Stegostoma tigrinum: one gene and its partner. The protein of the gene in region 1 interacts with the protein of each later gene in a pairwise test. Links are inferred from orthologs where the notes say so. Each region holds a gene or a part of one and is shown in the gene's direction. Other genes may lie near its edges.

The links. The genes of interacting proteins can lie anywhere in the genome.
Region 2: the proteins of mfap1 (region 1) and katnbl1 interact in binary tests that used the Homo sapiens proteins (3 or more experiments, as listed by UniProt). The link is inferred for Stegostoma tigrinum from reciprocal best matches to the Homo sapiens genes MFAP1 and KATNBL1.

What each region holds. Positions count from the first base shown.
Region 1 is NC_081389.1:22,687,332-22,697,659, forward strand, and holds the start of mfap1 (microfibrillar-associated protein 1), read left to right. Parts: upstream 1-6,086; 5' UTR 6,087-6,171; coding exon 6,172-6,253; intron 6,254-7,860; coding exon 7,861-8,077; intron 8,078-9,409; coding exon 9,410-9,539; intron 9,540-10,328. UniProt on the Homo sapiens protein: Involved in pre-mRNA splicing as a component of the spliceosome.
Region 2 is NC_081363.1:67,766,752-67,777,464, reverse strand, and holds the start of katnbl1 (KATNB1-like protein 1), read left to right. Parts: upstream 1-6,167; 5' UTR 6,168-6,406; intron 6,407-10,713.

The sequences.
Region 1 (10,328 bases):
TACCCCGGTGAGATTATTATCAGCGGAATTTCTGCAACCCTTTCTCAGAGAGAAAGAACAGGGGAAGTCCATTTATAATAATCAGAAAAACCAACAGAGGAAATTCTTGCAGCAGAAGAAACCAAAATGGCATAAAAATTTGGCTGACACATATGTTTTAGCTTTTCCAAGAACTCAGTTTGACCACAAACTGTGTATTTTCCAGAAGGTGATAACATATCTCTACATTTGGTGCCGACATGCCAGTCAGATATCGGCTTGCTCTGTCCTAAAGTCAAGGCTGCCGAGCCACACAGATAAGAAGTTGGGAAGCAAAAAACTATTTATGGACTTTAGAAATAGAAGCAAGAGCAGGGTACCACCCTTAAAGGCAGCTCCACCATTTATTAAGGCCATGGTTAATCTATGTTTTCACTCTCACTTTTCTGCCAGAGCCCTTTGCTTGCCCTCAGTTCCATACATGACTAAAAGACAGTTGATCCTGTCAATGAATAAACTCAATGTCCAAACCTCCTCTGTGTCTGGGTTACAGAATCCCAAAGATTTGAATCCCCTTCTACATATTTATATTGATTTAAGTTGCCAGTTCTTTATCATTGTCACGATTTCTGCCTTCTTCATCCATTGTTAACCACTTCCATTTATCTTCACAACATGCTACCAAAAACTTCTTTTTGATCTTACCTGAAATACTGTTGCCTTGTCCTAACTCACACCAAGTCCTATTGCCCAGCTCCTGCCCGGGAGCATTTTCATTTTTGCTTCCTAATCTCTCCATGTCCTCACCTTTCATTAATTTTGTAATTTATTTCAGGTCTGCAACCTCCTGAGATATTAACATTTCGCTGTTTTCGCTCTCCTGTACACTCCTGATTTTAACTGGTCCATTATTGGCAGCCATGCCTTTGGCGCTTGGACCTGATGCTTTGGAAAACTCCCTCCCTGAATCTCTCCAGCTCCTTTCTCCTCCTTTCTGTTATTTAGCTGAGACTTTTGTCATCTGTCAGAAATCTCTTTTGAGATTTAGCTTAATGTTAATTTTTATTTGACAATTTCTGTATTGTGCTTAGGAAGTGTTTTATGACATTAAAGGTATTATATGAATGCAAACTGTTGTTATGTTTATGTTATGTAAGATGCACTAGCTCTTCTTAACTACTGCACTTAGTGACTAAGTTCTGACAGTTCGACATTAATTCGACAATATTAACTCGATGCAGAGTTCTACCAACAAAGAGTGTATAATTTGACAAGAAGTTTGTGAGAATTTGACACAGTAATCTACTAGCACCATCTACTGAGAGTAATTCATTATTTCCTGCATGTCTCCCCTGGAGCTTCCTAATCAGTTACTTTCTTGTTTCGCAGATTAGATTAATGCAAAAATCATAGTGTCAGGTTATCACCATAGCCATAAAACCCAAGTCCTAGTCTCTTTGGTTTAGTCAAGACTTCAGCCCATCCAAAATACTTTGAAGTGTTGTCACTGTTCAAATATCTAAACCACAGCAACCAATTCTTGCAAATTGCAATGGTCATGATCAAACAAACTTTCTTCTATTGGGATCAGTATTGGCAAGGACACCAGGAAGAGAACTCCTGCTGCTCTATGAATTGCCAAGATGCTCTGCCTTCTTTCAGAGGCAGAATGGGCCACAATTTAAAAACTCTTCTGAATGTTGGTACCTCCGGCAGCATAGAGTCATACAGCACAGAAACAGACCCTTCGTTCATGCCAACCAGGTTCCCCCAACTAAACTAATCACATTTGCCTGTTTGATCCATATCCCTCCAAACCTTTCCTATTCAAGTACCTGTCCAAATGTCTTTTAAATGCTGTAACTGCACCTGCATCCATCGCTTCCTCTGGCAGCTCATTCCATTTACACACCAGCCTCCGTGTGAAAAGTCACCCCTTGAGTCCCCTTTAAATCTTTCCCTTTGCATCTTAAACTTATGCACTCCAGTTTTGAACTCCCCTACCCTAGGAAAAAGACCTTTGCTATTCACTTATCTATGCCTGTCATGATTTCATAAACCTCTGTAAGGTCACCCCTCAACCTGCTACTCTCCATGGAAAAAGATTCCAGCATATCCAGCCCCTCCCTATTACCCAAACTCTCCGGACCTGGTCACATCCTTATAAATCTTCTCAGTACCCTCTCCAATTTAATAGTGTTCTTCCTATAGCTGGGCAACCAGAACTGTACGCAGTATTCCAAAACTGTCTTCACCAACATCCTGTACAGCCACAACATGACTTTCCAACTCCTATACTCACCACCTGTCTACCAATACCATCACCAACTCTGTAAGTTCTTACTTTGCCTTACCAAAATGCAACGCTTTGCGTTTATCCAAATTAAACTCCATCTGTCACTCCTTAGCCCATTGGCCCGGCTGATCAAGATCCCATTGTATTCTTTAAATAACCATTTTCACTGTCTACTATACCACCAATTTTGGTGTCATCCGCAAACCTACTAACCATGCTTGCTATATTCTCATCCAAATTATTTATGTAAATGACAAACAACAATGGTCCCAGCACCAAACCCTGTAGAAAGACTCACTGGTCACAGGTCTCCAGTCCAGAAAACAACACTCCACCACCACCAATTTTGCGTCCAATTGGCAAGCTGTCCCTGGATCCCATGTGATTGAATGTTACTAAGCAGTCTACCACGCAGAACCTAGTCAAAGGCTTTACTAAAGCCCATATAAGCAATTTCTACTCTCTGGCCACAACGATCTTCTTGGTCGTGTCCTCAACAAACCCAATCAAGTTTGTGAGATGATTTTCCATGCACAAAACCATGCTGACTATTCCTAAGGAGTCTTTGCCTCTCCAAATTCAGGTAAATTCTCTTTCTGAGAATCCCCTCCAGCAACTTAACCACCAGTGACTTCAAGCTCACTGGTCTGTAGTTCTCTAGCTTTTCTTTGCAGCCTTTCTTAAATAAAGACACAAACTTAGACACCCTCCAGTCCTCCGGCACCTCACCCATAGCTATAGATGATGTAAGTATCTCTGCTAGGGAACCTGCAATTTCTTCCCCAGCTTCCCACAATGTTCTAGGTACACTTGATTAGGTCATAGTCATACAACACAGAAACAGACCCTTCAGTCCAACCAGCCCATGCTGAATGTAAACCCAAACTAAACTAGTCCCACCCACCCGCACATAGTCAATATGCCCCTAAACCTTTCATATTCATGTACTTTCCTACGTTATTTTTAAATGTTGTAACTGTGCCCGCATCTGCCACTTCCTCAGGAAGTTCATTCCACATGCAAACCACTCTCTGTGTAAAAAAAATTATCCCTCATGTCTTTTATTAATTCTCTCCTCCCTCACATTAAAAATATGCTCCCTAGTCTTGAAACTCCCTATCCTAAGGACAATGTCTCACAAATGTATCTACCTTTTTGCATTTTCAGACCTTCAGCACCTCTTTTTCTGTAAAGTGAACTATTTTCAAGACGTCATTATTTATTTCCTTAAGTTTTGTCAATTGTATCTATTTTTCTCCAGTAACTACAGTTGTGAAATATTCACTTTGTACCTCTCTCATCTCCTGTGGATCCGCATAAATATGGCCTTGTTGGTCTTAAAGTTTCCTATTCTCTTCCTAGTTGCTCTTGCGCACTTAATGAATTTGTAGCATCTCTTTGGATTCCTTATCTGCCAAAGCTATCCCATATCCTCCTTTTGCTCTCCTGATTTGCTTCAGCCAGCAGGAAGCCTGACAGCTCACTGTTCAACCGCCTTTGGTTCATCATTATCATTATCATCATCATCATTTGTGGTCCCTTGCAGAGAAGGATGACTCTCTTTCAGTCTCAGGGTTTGTATGTAGGTGGCTGTACAGACCACTGCAGCTACCACAGGCTCTATTACACTTGGGTCAGTTAGTGCTCACTCAAAGGGTTGGTGCGACAGCGCTCTCCTTTTGCTGTTTGCACCTGGTTTCCACTTTTTCCCAACGGCAAGTCTCGAGATACTGGGCACCTTCCTGGGTGCCCCTCCTCCATTTTGGCCAGTGATTCCCAGGTGTCTGGGGGAATGCTGTATTTTGTCAGTGAGACCTCAAGGGTAAATGACGTGAAGAGTCATGACGGCTGCCAACTTCTGCCCTTCGATTTTGTATCTGGTGGGGCATGCGACCAGTGAACCCAGAAAAATTGAAGGTGAATGTGCAGTCACAGCAGGGCTCAGAATCACAGGCGTCTCGCTGGTTTGGATTTAATGATGCCTCCCCACATTCCAGTTGTGGAGCAGCCATTAGGCTGTGGCTGTCATGAAAATAGTAGTTTCCACGGGAGACACCATTGCTGCCGTGGGGAAAGCAGTAGCGGTCACTGTGTGTACTATGTAACTGCCGAAGTAGCAGTAGCTGCTACAGTGTGGCCTTTGCGGAGGAGGTCATTATTTGGCTGTATGCAAGGCCACGGTGACCATTAAGAAGGCCACGTTCAGGCTCAGGGTAGGCAGTAATGGCCACATGATAGTTGTTGTAGATGTGGGGTAAGTGATTATTGTGACCGAAGGGAAGGCAATAGCAACAGTGGGGCGGCTATTTTGGATGCAGAGCAGCTACTGCAGCTGTATAAATAGCCATTCTCGCAGCCCAGGTCAAGGGAAGGTGTGAGGTAAGGAGGGTGCAAAGATGAAGTGATGGGTCCCCTTAATCCCCTCAAGGGATTCACTTCATCTATACCTGACATATGCTTCTTATTTTTCTTACTTCCTGAGTACTGGGAAGGTCAGCCGGTCTTTGGTATAAAATCCCATCAGGTAAACTTTGTACTCAGATGCTAATGAGCTAAAATGGAGATGAGCAGAAATATTTTATATTTGGCGGATTTTTATATCTGGAAGACCTGGTGGAGTCAGATTCCACCGAAAGGTTTAAAGGACAATTAGTTGAAGAGGAAAAGTTTACAGGGGAATAAGTGAGCATCTATTAGCACAGTCAGAGTGGGCTGAATAGCCTTTTTCTTTGGTGGAAGGTTCAGCTTGACATTAACAGGTATCTGGATAGCTTCTGAGCTTCTGCATCATCTGAAGATGTGGTAAAGTAGAAAATAGGTGCGGCAAAATGGTTCATTTTTCAGCCAGTGTAAGCAGAATGAGCAGGCTGGTTTCCTTCTGGCTGCCACAGTTCATTTTCTATATGCAGGAAACTTTTTATCGTCTGACACCAAACGGGACCAGGAATGTGCTGATTGGTCAAATATTATAGATAATTAAGAGGTTCACATCATCAATGTAAATGTAATGTGGGGGTATACACATTTTTGGCATAAATTACTTAAATAATAATGTAATTTTGCCTTAAATAAAACTTACCAGCAGACAGCCTTCTCATTTACACCCTCAAATGACTATTGGACAGTGCGGTAGATACAGCCGTAAGGTCGTTGTGCACAAAAACAGAACCTTTGGTCCAATAAGTCAATGCCAACCAGGTATCCTAAGTAAATCTAGTCCCATTAGCCAGCATTTGGCCTATATCCCTTTCAACCCTTCCCATTCATGGACTCATCCAGTTGCCTTTTTGATGTTGTAATTGTACCCAGCTTCACCACTTCCTCTGGCAGCTTATTCCATACATTCCCTCTGCGTGAAAAATGTATCCTCAAGTCCTTTTCAACCCTTTCCTCTCTCATTTAAGAACCGATACGCTGTAGTTTTGGACTGCCCCACCCTAGAAAAAAAGCGCATTGCTACTCACCCTACCCATGCCCCTCATGATTTTATAAACCACTATAAGCCTCAGCCTCTGATGCTCCAGGGAAAATAGCCCCAGCCTGTAAAACGCATCCTTGTAACTGAACCCACAAACCTGGCAACATCCTTGTAAATCTTTTCAGCACCCTTTCAAGATTAATAATATCTTCCCTCAGACAGGGAGACCACAATTGGACACAGTACTCCAGAGGTGGCCCAACCAATGCCCTATACAAGCCCCGCCCATATCCAAACCACGCCCACCTACAAAGCCCCGCCCACACGCGTGACCGGTGCAGTGACGTCAAACGCCAAAGGCATAAATAAGGCGAGTTCCCTGATGAGGTCATCACTCCGCGACTCCTGCCCGCCATCTTGTGGTTGTTGTGTAGGTTGTTTTGTTTGAGTTCGGCCTCTGAAAGCTGCAGCGCGAACCATGGCCGCCCCGCTCAGCCTGAACGCCAAGCAGCCGCCGATTCAGTCCACGGCCGGAGCCGTGCCCGTCCTCAATGAGAAAGGTGAGTGGAACCGAGTCCCCCCAGCCCATCGATACAGTATCCGCACCCCCCCGCGGCTCTCGGTACAGAGACCTCCCCCTCCTCCATCCCCTGGGCTCTTGGAATAAGTAACACCCTGAACCCCCCCCCTACCCCCGGCTGTCGGGACAGAATCTCCCCCCCCCCCCTCCCCGAGCTGTCGGTACAGAATCTCAACCCCCCCCCCCCCCCCCCGAGCTGTCGGTACAGAATCCCGCCCCACCCCCACCCCACCACACCCCACCACCACCCACCACCACCCCACCCCCCCCAACACCCCACCCCCCCCAACACCCCACCCCCCCCAACACCCCACCCCCCCCAACACCCCACCCCCCCCAACACCCCACCCCCCCAACACCCCACCCCCCCCAACACCCCACCCCCCCCAACACCCCACACCCACCAACACCCACCCCACACCCCACCCCCCCACCCCCACACCCCCCCACACCCCCCCACACCCACACCCCCCCACACCCCCCCACACCCCCCCACACCCCCCCACACCCCCCACCACCCCACACCCCCCCACACCCCCCCACACCCCCCACCCGTCGGTACAGAATCCCGCCGCACCCCCCCCCCCCCAGCTGTCAGTACAGAATCCCCCGGCTGTCGGTACAGAGACCTCCCCTCCTCCATCCCCTGGGCTCTTGGAATAAGTAACACCCTCACACCCCCTCCCCCCCCCCCCCCCCCCCCCCACCAGCTGTCGGTACAGGGAGCTACAAACCCCTCCCATGGGCTCTTGGTACAGGAGCACCCACTCCCTCGGGCTTTCAGTGCTGGGGGTGACTGGAATACACAGGGATACAATGATCCAGTGAAAGCTGCATTCTGCTGAAACATTTTTGGTGTGCTATTCAAATTGATGTTCCCTCTAGCCTCAGTGTCCAGCCCCTCCTTCCCCTCAACACCTGTCCCTCATTACTACCTCTTGTGTTCCTTTGGTCCTGACCCTAAAATGAACTGCTGAACCTGGATGAACTTGCTGCATTCCTTCTCTCAGAGCTACATTGATGAACATGTAACTGAGTGTTTACAAGACACAATCTAAAACACACTCAGCCATCTCTGATCCACACAGTGCGACCCCTATCGCTGCACTTGTTCTCAACCATAGTTGAATAAATGCTATGCCCCAATTTCTTTGTGGAATTTCACAGTTTAATTATGGAATTGCATCAGCTACTTGCTGCAGCCCCTGGTTCACCTTATTACCAAATTGCGCCTTAATATCCCTCAAGCAATTTTTCTTCCTTGAGTACCTCACTGTTTTACCCCTCTCAGCCAAACTGCTTGCACCACTTCATTCTTGGTCCACTGCTACCTCTAAGGTGCTCTCCTTCTCTTGACAGTCATACAGCATGGAAACAGAGCCTTCGGTCCAGCCAATCCATGCCAACCACGTTCTCTGTTAAACTCTTCTCTGTGACATCTTGTCCATAGTGCTATTAATCTTTGTCCCGTCTTGGCCAAACTGTAATAGGAGCGCTAGCAACTGGGCTTCTTTGGATCACAATGCTGATGACCCTGTGGTTACTGTAGTAATGGCCTTTGCTGAATGCACCTCCCTTTTGTGCCAGGTGAGGTGTCGATGGAAAAAGTGAAAGTCAAGCGCTATGTCTCTGGTAAGCGACCTGATTATGCGCCAATGGAGTCCTCGGATGAAGAGGAGGAAGACTTCCAGTTTGTGAAGAAGCCAAAGGATGCAGAGGCAGAGCCTGAGGTGCCAGAGGAGCTGGCAAACGACCCTCGTCTGAAACGTCTCCAAAACCGACTCTCTGAGGATGTAGAGGAAAGGTGAGAGAATCTGAAGCTTCTGGTCCTGCCAGGCAAACCCAAGATCATTTTTATGTATGACATACAAAAATTGAAATTGCTGGAGAAATGCAGCTTTGGGAAAGCAGAATCAACATTTTGACTTGTGTCCCTCCTTCAGAAGTCATAATATTGACCCTTTTCTCACCACATGCTGTCAGACCAGCTGAGTTTCTCCAGCTATTCCTATTTTTGTGTTTCAGATCTCAAAGGTCCACCATTCTTTGTTTTATGTTATTTTTATTTGTTTCTGAAAATGACCTGGTTCCTCCCTTAAACGCATTGCCTGATACTGAGCTACATAGATCCTGAAGGGTCTGGATAAAATGTTTGTCCTCAATTGATGGTAATGGGAACTGATCAGTAGTTTCAGTGCCCTTCAGTTAGTGAGAGGACTTAAAAAAAACAGAATTGTTGTTACTAATTAGGAATTGAGCACATAGGCCAAGCTCACATTTTAGCATCAGAGATAATGGGAACTGCAGATGCTGGAGAATCCAAGATAACAAAGTTTGAAGCTGGATGAACACAGCAGGCCAAGCAGCATCTAGACCCTAGGGCCTAGACCCTTCATCCGAAACGTCAGCTTTTGTGCTCCTGAGATGCTGCTTGGCCTGCTGTGTTATTCCAGCCTCACATTTTGTTATCTGACATTTTAGCATGATTGATTTGATTTTTGTTTTAAGCTTTATTGTCACGTGTACTCAAGTACAGAAGTACAGTGAAAATTGTGTAATGCCACCACACATGTCACAATCATAGGTACTTAGGTACAAGTAGTAACATCGATAATACTTTAGTTTTAACTTTATTTTTCTGCTTATACTAAGAACAAAGAGAAACAAAGTGAAAAGTTAACATTGCAGTCCTTCCTGGTATTAAGTCAAAAAAAGGGAACAGAGGTTAAAGTTCAACAGTCTTTCTTATGTGCTGTCCCTACAAGGGCTCAGTCTCCTTTGCTTTGGACCACTCTCTGGGAAACCTCAGGCTTCCTCAATGCTATTGATAAATGGCACTTCAGATGCTGCAGTCCTCTTTCAAATGCAATGTTTAACCAAATCCCATTTGCCATCTCAAGGAATGTCAAAGATCCTGCAGTATTCTTTCCTGGTGTCCTGGACAGAATTCATGCCTCAAACGAAATAACTGAGAAAACAGACTAACTGCTGATTTATTTTGTTGCTGCAACCTAAACAAGTGATTACATTGTATGGAATTCAACTTGGAACGTGTTGAGCGTGTGACAAGGTTATAGAAATGTTTGAGCACTGTTATTCTGCAGGAAGATGACTTTTTTTCTTCCCCTTTCTCCAGACTGGCCAGGCATCGGATGATTGTTGAACCTGAGGTAGTGATGGAGGCAGAATCTGAGGATGAGGGTGAACCTTGGCATGTAGATCGCGAGGACACCAGTGAAGAGGAAGAGGAGGAAGTGGATGATGAGGTGAATATGGATCTCACTAGTGTCTCGGTAACAACCAACAGGAAACCAATGATATCTTGAAAAGAGGGCAGACTGAGGTGTCAGAGCTGGAAGTGAAGTGCCTGTATACAGACTAGGTGGAGGGTCAGTTACAAGCCTTGTGCAGACCCCAGACACATTGCCAGAAGCACAGGCCAGATATTGACTAGTCTGGACTTTAGGATGTATTTCTTTCTTGTTACTGGATAATGACAGTTGAGGAAAGGCAACACAGAGTGGTGGAAGTAAATAACGTTGACCCAATTAAGGGGAAGCTAAATAGACACCAGTGAGAAAAGGAATAGCAGGATTTGCTGATGTGTTGAGATGAAGTAAGGTGGAGCTGAAAAATTGATATTGACCTGTTGAGCTGAACCTGGGGGGGCTAAGTGAGTTTACCCCAAACTGCCATGGTGAGATTGAATATGTATCAAGATCACTAGCCATGCCCACTGGATTACAAAACCAATAGTATAATCGTTCTGCTCCATCCCCTGGTCCACTCCTCTTCCCACGTGACCTGTAAGAATCCGAATTCAGCCAGTAACGTTGGATACTGTTCAGATTTTGGTTATCTGGCCCTGTAACTGTTTTCCCAGTTGTTTAGTCACCCAGGGTGTAGATGTTGGGAGTAAAACCCTGTAAGGTCCAGCTGCCTTTACTGAGATGGCTTACTGCAGCCAAGACAGACAGAGGGTGTTGCTTCAGCCTCCCATGAGCAATAACTGGGACTCCAGCTGTTCTGTTGCTGCTGTGCTGTGATTCGGACAT
Region 2 (10,713 bases), on another chromosome or scaffold:
AACCCATGCAGACATGGGGAGAATGTGCAAACTCCACACAGACGGTCGCCCGAGGATGGAATTGAACCCTGGGTCCCTGGTGTTGTGAGGCAGCAGTGCTAACCACTGAGCCACCGTGCCACCCCACTCTGTCTTGGCGAATCCCCAAATTTATACATCTCTTTCCCGATAGCCCTCTCTGTCAACCCCAAAGACTTTGCACTTGCCAGAGTCCCCATTCAATCTGTCTGTCTGAGTTTTCATCTGCTCATTTTGCCCTCTCAGCAACACTCCCGGCTAGTAGCTTGGCACGTACCAATGAATGGATTCTGTTTCAGAAAGCTGCTGCCACATATAGACCTCAGAGATCTATGTAACAGCAAAGTAAAATACAAGAAAGCTTGCCACCCAGTCTCAGGCATAACAAATATGCAGAACAAACATTGTTCCTGCAGACACCTGGATGCTGCTTACTCAATGACGTCCCCACCCTGACATGCTCCCTTTCCCTCTATCACCTCCCTGCCTTATATATTGAGTTGTTACTCCCTTCAGTACCTGTCTTTATATCCCAACATTCTGACTTAAATCTAATATCCTGAGCCTTATTCCCATAGCAGGGGCCTCTGATAAACCCTTTGACTTTTAGTGGATGAACACCCAGAACTGATCATAACCCACCTTTATTGAATGCTTTAGCTGGGCAACCCTGAACAATGAGTGACCAGACCTGTGACTGATATCTATACAGCTCCATAACTGTGCTCCCTTGACTCCTAGGACAGGTCGCACTGAACCCAGAGGGTTGACTATGGCCCAATCCCAGTCTGCAGAAGTACTCCGACTGCCCACCTGACCGAGCCAAGCCGCTGGACTAATATTTGCAGCCACCCTCGATTTACGGTGCTCCAACCTACCACCCGCAAACTGAAGGGTGTCTCTCCTGGGCTTGACAGACAACCACCCCATTGTAACACAACAGCCTTCCTGCACATGTAAGCAGATATTTCCCAAATCAAACTGTTCATCAATGCTAGTACACACTTCTGAAGCAGATGTGTTTTGGAACAGAGGTAGGATAGTACTACATCTGTGAAGACAAAAAACCGAGTTAATGCATCAAGTCCAATACCTATTTGTCTTATTGCCTTCAACTACTAGTACTTAACACTCATCAACAGAACTGGGTTCTTGTGGTGCAGTGGTAATGTTCTTGCCTTTGGGCTAGGAGATTGTGGTTCAAGTTCCCACCTGCTCAGGAGGTGGTGTCAAAACATGTCTGGACAGGTTGATTCAAAATTATTACCATCAACAGAACTTATCAGTTACTAACAATAAGCACCAAAAGAAATTGTGACTCATCCAGTACTGAGTGTTGGGCAAGTGATCTGACAGCACAACGGTAGTAAAGAGCTATCACTGATTTACAGTAATCTTTCTTTCAACCAGCACTCTTGATAAACTGGCAAGAAATATATACCTCAAATACCGCGATCTATTGCAAAGTCTGAGAATTTAGGCCGGGAAAAAAAAATTATGTTTCGAATACTTACTATGTGTTTTTACATTGAATTGAGCAGGGGTGTTGATGTTTTTACATAGATTCTTTGAGGTACATTGATGTCCTGAAACTTCGCTTGGTCAAGATTTACTGCAGTGATGTGTCCCTCTTGATTATCCAGAATATTTGATCAATGGCCACAGTCCTCATCCTACATGTGCCAGTTAAATAAAGTTTGCTGAACTTGTTAAAGTTGGCCCTTAGTCACTGGATCATATCTCCAAGACATCCCATATAGATGAGGATGGAGGGCATATAACTTTGGAAGGAAACCAGAGACAACATTGCTGGGTGGGAAGAAAAGCCATTGATGGAGGTGCAGTCAAATAAGTGGAACCCGAGCAAATTTTCAGATTATCATGATTTGTTGTATTGTCTTAATACCTTGGTGACTGAATGATATGACCTTCATATGAATGAGCTGTAAGAATAGTTAAAGTATGACTTTGAGAAACCATAGCAGACAGCAGCCTAAACATCTTCAGCAGCAGCAGCATCTATTTGCCGTATGTTCAATCAGGCCTCCTTCTATCTTGCCCTTCCTTCAGAACATCACAATAAGTCATCCTATTGATCTGCCATAGATAATGAAATGTGACGCTGGATGAACACAGCAGGCCCAGCAGCATCTCAGGAGCACAAAAGCTGACGTTTCGGGCCTAGACCCTTCATCAGAGATCTGCCAGTCAGGCCATACCTGAGAAAATGTTGGAGAATCTCAGCCTGTCCAGCACAACTGAGTTAATTCATCAAGTCCAATATGACTTCCTCAAAACAGAACTTCTGAGTTTCTCCAGCATTTTCACATTTTATTCCAGTAAGCAAATGTTGTGCTTTCAGTCGTGCAACATAGGAATTATTTTCTGAAGAATAAACATGTTAGTTTCATAACCATGGGAGTTTAGAAGAATGAGAATGCAAGTCATAAAACCATGAGATGACCGGATAAGGTAGATACTGGGAGGGAGTTTTGTCAAGGAGACAAAAATAAGGGAGAACAGTTTAAGAGAGAAGCTTAAAACAGAGATGAGAAGATATCTTTTCTCTTAGAGGCTTGTTGGAGTATGGAATGTGTCACCCCAAAAACTGAGTTCTCAAATGTATTCAAAGTTGAGTTTAATAGAATTTTGATCAGCAGGAGAGTCAAGATTATACAGGACAGACAGCAAAGTGGAGCTGACACCAAAAACAAAGCAGTTGTAATTTATTGAATGGCAAAAAAGTTTGAGGAGCCAAATGGTCCTCTTCCATTCCTGGGCCCTATGTCCGTACAGCTTCTATTCTTCACTGTGTAAACTAATGAAGGGAATCAGTCCATGGCTAAAGCCTGTGAGATGTGGAACGACTGAGAACTTTCTGGAAAGCTCACCTCAGATGCTGGACGTCAATCTGTTGCACTTGCTCTGGGGGTCGGGAATAACGTGACCTGACTTTTCAGCAGTGGGATGATTTGAATGATTTGCATTTGAGAAATTTTCAGACCCACGTGAACATTGACCTTTCTGTCATGCTCTTCACCCCAGTGTCTTGGATGTCTTCAAGCCACTTCCGGCCTCACATGATAGGATTGGTACTGACGGAGAAAGACAGATGAAGGGTGTACCTTTAAGGGATCACTTACAGTGGGTAGAAACAAAAGTGTTTTTTTGATCCTGGAGAATTTCTAATCTTTGAAATTGTCTTTACCAGAGAGCAGTGGAGGCTGGGTCAATGATTATGTGCACGGCTGAGTTAGAGGTTTATTTTCAATTCATTCATGAGGGCATTGCTGGACAGACCAGCATTCATTGTTCATTCCTAATTGCTCACACAGCAGTTAAGAGTCAACTACATCGCTGCACGTCTGGAGTCACACGTAGGCCAGACAAGATAAGGATGGCAGTTTCCTTCCCTAAAGGGCATTAGTGAACCAGATGGGTTTTTCCCACAATCGATAATGGATTCAGGATCCTCATTAGACTCTTTAAATGAGATATTGAACTTGAATTCCACCATCTGCTGTGATGGAATTTGAGCCCGGGTCCCCAGATCACTACCTGGTTTTGATCCATGTGAGAGTCAGAGGTTATGGCCAAATTTCAAGAAAGTACAGGTAAGGCCACAGTCAGAGTAGACATGATTTTATTGATTGGTAGAGCAGATTTGATCAGCCAAATGGCTGAATCATGTTCCAGTTCCTTATGCTGTTGTAGCTTACTGTAGCAAGATTTCAATATCTTCTCGATCACATGCTTTTAAGTTACTGTCAACATTTAAAGGCATAGGGATGCTCAGACCTCTCTCTCCTGGGTTGCATGCATTGGTTGTCTCTGGTAAAGTTCATTCAGGTACAGGCAATTCCTGTGCATTTCTGAAATGGACTGCCTCTCTCACATTGGAGTGAAAAGGAAACAGAAAATTAGCTCCAGATTCTATCCTTAATGTAGTATTTTTTTAAAATTCATTCATGGGATGTGGAAATTGTTCTTTCGTCAACACTTAGTTCTAATCCCTGGTGGCCTTTGAAAAGGTGGTGGTGAGTTGCCTTCTTGAACTGTTGCTGTTTGGTTTGGGGGTTAGGCTGTCTCCTAGACTTCTGCAGGGTACTGCACCAGAAATGTGTAGCTGTGGAGTTTAGCCTCTGCACCAGGCCCTGTGGTCACTGGCATCACTATCAGCCAGGTCCAAGACAGACAACCCAGGTATGTGGCAGTGAAGTGCAAGATGCTGTATGTCTCACGTTTGGGGTCAGTTTGGGTAGGTTCAGAGGAGCTTGACAGCTACCAGAACTAGGACACGGCTCAGTGAATGATAAAGGGTACTTTTATCATCCTGATATTTGTTGGGAGTAGGGGATGGGGTAGTGTGGATAGTAGCACGGCGGCTGTATTGTGGAGCTCGGCCACAGTGGGAGGTAGGGTTGCCATATCCCCTGGGTTGAAGTCTCCAAGAATTAAAGCTTAACTTCCTGAACACTGCCAGGCAGTGGAAAACATTACTGTGGCTTTAAGAACTGATCTTTCCTCTCTTAACATTGGTATATTAACGATAGAAATATTGGGAAAGGGAAAAACAGGCCTGTACGTGTGGGATGGTTAGAGGACACTCCAGGAATGGGAAAGTTAGCAGTCCTGGTTAGAGGAACAGCCAGATGTTGATATTGCATTTGAGAAGGTGAGTGAACTGCTGATTCTCTGGGGGCCTGATGCTGCAGGAGTGAATCAGCTGAAATGGAAAGAGCTAAGGATTGGGAGCCGCAGAGAGCAACCAAGGCCCATAATCAATTCCTGGACAGCCAGTGAGAGGAACTTGAGGGAGAATCCAGAGGACAAGCATCGTCTGACCCGCAGTGAAATCTCCCTGAGACTGAACACAGCCTAGAGACCATTTGTGGATGATAGGGTAATCTGGCTGAAGTATTTGAAGGAAACTGAAAACAGTAGTGCAACAGCACATGTATTTGCAAGAATCTACAAATACAATGCAGATGTAATGTTGGTAAATGAGGGGTTATCACATGTGAGGTAGCAAAAACAGAAAATATTATTATCTGAATGGTGATAGATTTGGAAACAGGCTGGGGTGGGTGGGGGGGGGAAGCTGTGCAATGATACCTGGGTAAATACATCAGTTGCTGAAAGTACACATGCAGGTGCAGCAGGAAATGAAAAAGGCAAATGGTATGTTGGATTCACAGCAAAATAATTCAAGTTACAGGAGCAGGAACAGACATGAGTTGCTTCAATTGTGTAGGGTCTTGGTGAGATTACTCCTGGAGTATTGTGAGCAGTTGTGGTCTCCTTATCTGAAAAAGGATGCTCTGGCTATGGGATGCTACTGCAATAAAAGTTCACCAGGCAGATTCTTGGGATAATGCGTTTGACATTGAAGGAGGACGGCATCAGTTAACCCTATATTCACTGGCAATCAGAACAATCTGCCCCGGCGTTCTCAAGGCCCAGTTCTCTTTCACTCCAACACAGACCTGATTTGCCTTTATCCACCTTCCCCTGCATTCCTGAATACCCAGTTCCTCACCAGTGGATCAGACTCCCCTGCCTGGGGACCCAACAAACAGCCCTCAGAACAGACCTATTATTGACTTCCCACTGACCTTGTGTAACAACTACATCACTTGCTTGGCCCCTTTGCCACCTTGCTCCTTACCCCCTACTTACTTGGCATACTAAACATCTGGCACCCTACTTACTTGCCATCCTACCCCCCACCCCTTCCTATTTGACATTCCACATCACTTCGCAGCCTACTTCACCCACCTCTCTACTGCATCACGCACCAACAGCGTCCTACACCATACCCACTTGACACCTTAACTTCACACGGGAAGTACTTGATCTTTGACATCAGCTCTCAAAGTGACTGTGATTGTGGGCTTTTCAATGCCAAATTACATCTTACTGTTGTGAAATGTGGGCATGGAATTCCTTTTCCTGGGCGAGACAGCTACTCCTCAGTAAATTCCGCTCACACGTTTTCCAAGAGCTTGTCCCACAATTACACCACTTGTTTTGCTGACTGTTATCATTTAAACAGCAGGAACGCTCCTATCAGGAGTTGGGGTAGGCGTTGCATTGGCCTCGTGCATTCTTAACGCTCCGGCTGGGAGGACTCTGCCATCCCGGCATGCCGTGGGCCCGAGTTGGCACGGTCCTCCGGCTGGGATCACACAGCCGTCCCGGCATGCCGTGGGCCCAGTCCTCCGGTTGGGAGGTTTCAGCCGTCCCGGCATGCTGAGGGCCTGTTTTGAATGGCGAAGGTTCAGGGAAAGGGAGAGAAGACCGGTGCGGCCTGTTAGCGCCTGAAAGGGGAGAGGAGGGGCAAATTCTAATCGCTTGCACTCCCACTGAAATGTTGTAAAATGTCCTGGTAAGTGGCCCCCTTGCTGTCCGTGGTGGCAGGAGACTCGGCTCGGGGCCTCACACTTGGACAGTTTCTGCTGGTTGGGACTTTGGGGTGGGGTGGATTGACATTAATTTTAAAAAGAGGGCTGTGTTTCTCTGCAATTCAAAATTATTTGCTAAGAAGCTCTTAAACCAGTTCCAACTAACTGCCCGCGTACTCGTAATCAATGCAAGACAACTCGTCGTTAACAATTAAAACTCAAACCACGACCTTTTATGTGACTTTATGGTTAATTTTATAAATTCTGAAAACGCTTGTTTGGTTTCAAAAATTGGGGATGGGACTCTTCATCTCGTTTTTATCCTGAAAGACGCGACGGATCTTATTGGAAAATCTAGCTTCGTTTGGATCCATTTTGTTTGCCTGGCTAGGAGTGGCATGAAGGGAAATCTGTTTAAAAAGGGTAAAGTTGTCAAAACCGCATTTTGTGGAATTGGTTGGCAGGCAGATTTTTACTGTATGACAACTGGTGATTTATTTATAGCTGCTGCGAATGTTAACTTGCAAAGCTACCTTACTATTTGAACAAGCAAATCTGTTCAGTTTTTGAACCTGGCCTCGTTTTAAGTGTGAAGTTGTTACTTCCTCGGAATCCTGTTTTGTGGGATGCCTTGAGTTTTGAATGATGTGAATGGACAGCACTGAATGGTGAGACCTGCCGATAATGGTGGCTAAATAAACCTACTGTATCAATAGAATGTTCTGTACCATAAGACTATGAAGCAGATTCTATGATTTTTCATTCTTTTTTTTTCAAAACACTTGATAAAAGAGGATTAGGATTTCTAAAAACTTTTTATTTTACTTGGGACATTTGTGAATGTACCTGGTAGAAAATCACAGCATGGTTCAGATTGGTGATATTGTTGGAATTATAGCAAAAAATATTCATGCTGATCAAGACTGTCAAAAATATTGAATGGTCATTAATCCCATTGAAATGTTATACAGTTGTACAACAATATTTCATTTGTCTGCTTCAGAGTCTCATTGAGCTTTTTTGCATTAACATTTTATAGGAGAGAGTTATTTAAATTCTTCCTGTACCTGTGATTTCTAAACATCAGGAAGGCAACATCTCCAAACCACTTCATTTATGGCCAAGTAATATCAATAAACAAAGTGTTTGTGTAGATGTAAATTAATTATTACTTGTCACTAATAAGTGACATTGCATTAATGAACTTTAATACTTGAACTGCTGTCAGGTCTAGACAGTGAGTTTTAAGAGAGGGTTTCCTGATTTTTAATGTCTTCCACTGACTTGAGCACATCTTGAGCTACACTGACATCATTCGCAATAATGTGAAAAGAACACACAAAACCTAACCTTGTATGTAATACTATTTAAAATGATGTCTGAATCCTGAGTTCTTGTAACATCTTCCTAATGGTTAAAGAAATAAATTCATACCACATTGTAATTACTGTAATTGAAAATTGCAGATGTTCCAAGATGATTGCAATATTATTGATTTTAAATTCTCTTAATGTTTTTAAGAATCCTTTCTTAACCCCTGTTTTGTTTGAATCATTATGTTAACTTCAAGAGTAATTTAAAAACTGGGGAATGTACTAAGTGTACAATAAAGCAGGATTCAGAGCTTGGCTACATACTACTATGTGACAAATTTCCACTTTAAGATCTTTTTCAGTATGCTATTTTTTTGGTTTCTCTTTCCTGGTTTTGAGTGTTTCGCATCTGTTCAATTGTTTTACTAGATACAGTAGTTCTTAATGCAAATCAAAATACTGTCATTTCTGGTAATACTCTGGTCTCACAACAGACCAGTATCCGGGAGAAGTCATTACAAGCGATACACTATGACCCAGGAAGAAAAATGGAGAGGGAAAGAATGATGGAATGGGAGAAAACCAAAAAAAAAGTTTAAATTATACATTCCTAAATTCTTAAATATTTAGGACCTTAAGCAATGTGCCTTATTACTGACAGTAGTTAATTGTCAGTATCGGGGAGCGTTTACAGTTATAAATAACACTTAGTATGCTGTTGACCTATAATGGACTTGATAAAAGACAAATTTTACTACATCTGTAAAGGGTCTTGGTAAAACCACATCTCTGAATATATTTCATATATAGTAGGAACTGACGATGCTGGAGAATCTGAGATTCCTGCTCCTCTGATGCTGCTTGGCCTGCTGTGTTCATCCAGCTTCACACCAAGGTATATGAAATATATACAGTTAGGTCTGTTTATTCGGAAGATATACAATTATGTTAGAAGCAATTCAGAGGTCCACTTGACTCATTTCGCAGAAGAAAGATTGAATAGATTGGGCTGTACCCATTGGAGTCTAGATGATTCAGAGATGATCTTATTGACACGATACTGAGGGCAATTAATGAAGTGGATGCTGGGAGGATATTTCCTGATACGGGTGAAGCTAGTATTAGGGGGCCACAGTTTAAAACTAAGAGGACGCCCTTTTAAGTTCGGGGAAAATGTTTTTTCTGTTGGATGTGGAACACTCTTCTGGAGAAAGCAGTGGAGGCTTGCACTGAGGCTAGTCAAAGTGGGTTAAACAGATTTTAGATCAACAGTGCAATTGAGGATTATAGGAGCAGGCTGGAAAGTGGAGTTTAGGCCATAATCAGATCAGCGATGACCTTACTTAATAGTTGGGCATGTAGTTGCAGTACTGAAGCAGTGCAAGTTCAAATGCATTAATCAGGACAATATCCAGGCTTGGGCTGAAAAGTGGCAAGTAACTTTCATGCCATATAAATGCCAGGCAATAACCACCTAACCACCATCCCTTGAAGTTCAATCATTTTACCATTTACTGAATCCCCCACAGTCAATAAGCTTGGGGCTACCACTGACCAGAAACTCAACTGAACTGCCCACATAAACACAGTGGCTACAAGAGTAGGTCAGGATTGAGGCATACTGCAGCAAGTAACTGATCTCCTGACTCCCAAAGCCTGTCTACCATTTACACGGCACAAGTCAGGATGTGATGGAGAACTCCCACATGCGTGGATGAGTAGAACTCGAACAACATTCAAGAAATTTGATACCAAATGGAACACAGTGGCCAGCTTGATAGTTACCACATCCACTCCCTCCGTAACTAATGCATCTCTTAAATAGTACTGCTGCTCCTGAGCAGTACGGCAGGTTGCCAACGATCCTTGCCACCTTCTAAATCCACGACAGCTTCTGTCTGGAAGTACAAGGTCAGCAGATGGAGTTGTTGGTTTGGTGTCCCAAGCTGACTGGTTTTCATTCAGACATTTCATGTCACCCCCTTCTAGGTGACATCGTTGATGCTGTGTAGTCTCCTTTTTGAAGTTTTTTTTTCCCGGGTCCTTAATGATTGCTCAACATCCATCATTTCCTTGAATATAGGATCTCTTCCAGACTTGCTGGGACCAATTCCCAGGTGTTGACCTCCTTACTAGCCAAAGTCTGCCATCTGTTTAAACAAAATGCTGTTCGCAGGGCAGCTGTGCCTCTTCAAACCCATTGAATCAAGAATCAGCCTACAGTTAACCTCCAAGTCTGCCATCCCAAATAAGCAAAAAAGTTTGTTTAGTCTGTTCGTTTCCTTTTACCAGGCTGTTTCCCAAAGTCCACTCGTCATTAGTTCCAATCAAAGTTAGTAAAGTAATAGCAGTAAAAATAATGAAAAAGCAGAAAGGTTCCAATGTTGCAAAATTCTGGAACTACATTTAATTCCAATGTTCAGTCTAAAGTTGAACAACAACTTGTGCACGATCTGCATGAGAGCATTCGAACTTTTGAGTTGCTGCATGGCCACAGCGGGGATGAAGGTTTTAAAGCGGCTGCATACTTGATCAAATCACTTGAGTAATCTTTTGAAAAAACAAAGAGGCTCCGTTGTTTGGCATGCCTAAATTAGCTTTAGGCAAATTTTTTTAAGGTAATTGTTCATAAACTTTTTTTTTGTTTTTGTTAACCTATTTTTCTAATCAACCTGTTCAGAGATGTTATTATACACCTCTGCTGCAGGTGGGATTTGTGGTTCGGAGATAGGGGCACCCAGTTGCATGGCAAGATTCATCCAGTGTTAAACTTACCTAATATGGTACCTTTTGAATATATTGTCAAGTATAGCAGACTGTTAAATTTATTGTCCTGTGATGCCACTGAGTAACAACTAAAATAAATGATGCAACATTGCAAGCAGAATTACTGTGCAAAATATGATAAGCTGTTGATGCATTTCTATAGGCCTTCATTTGTGGCTTATATGTATCAATAGTTCCTGAAATAACACCTG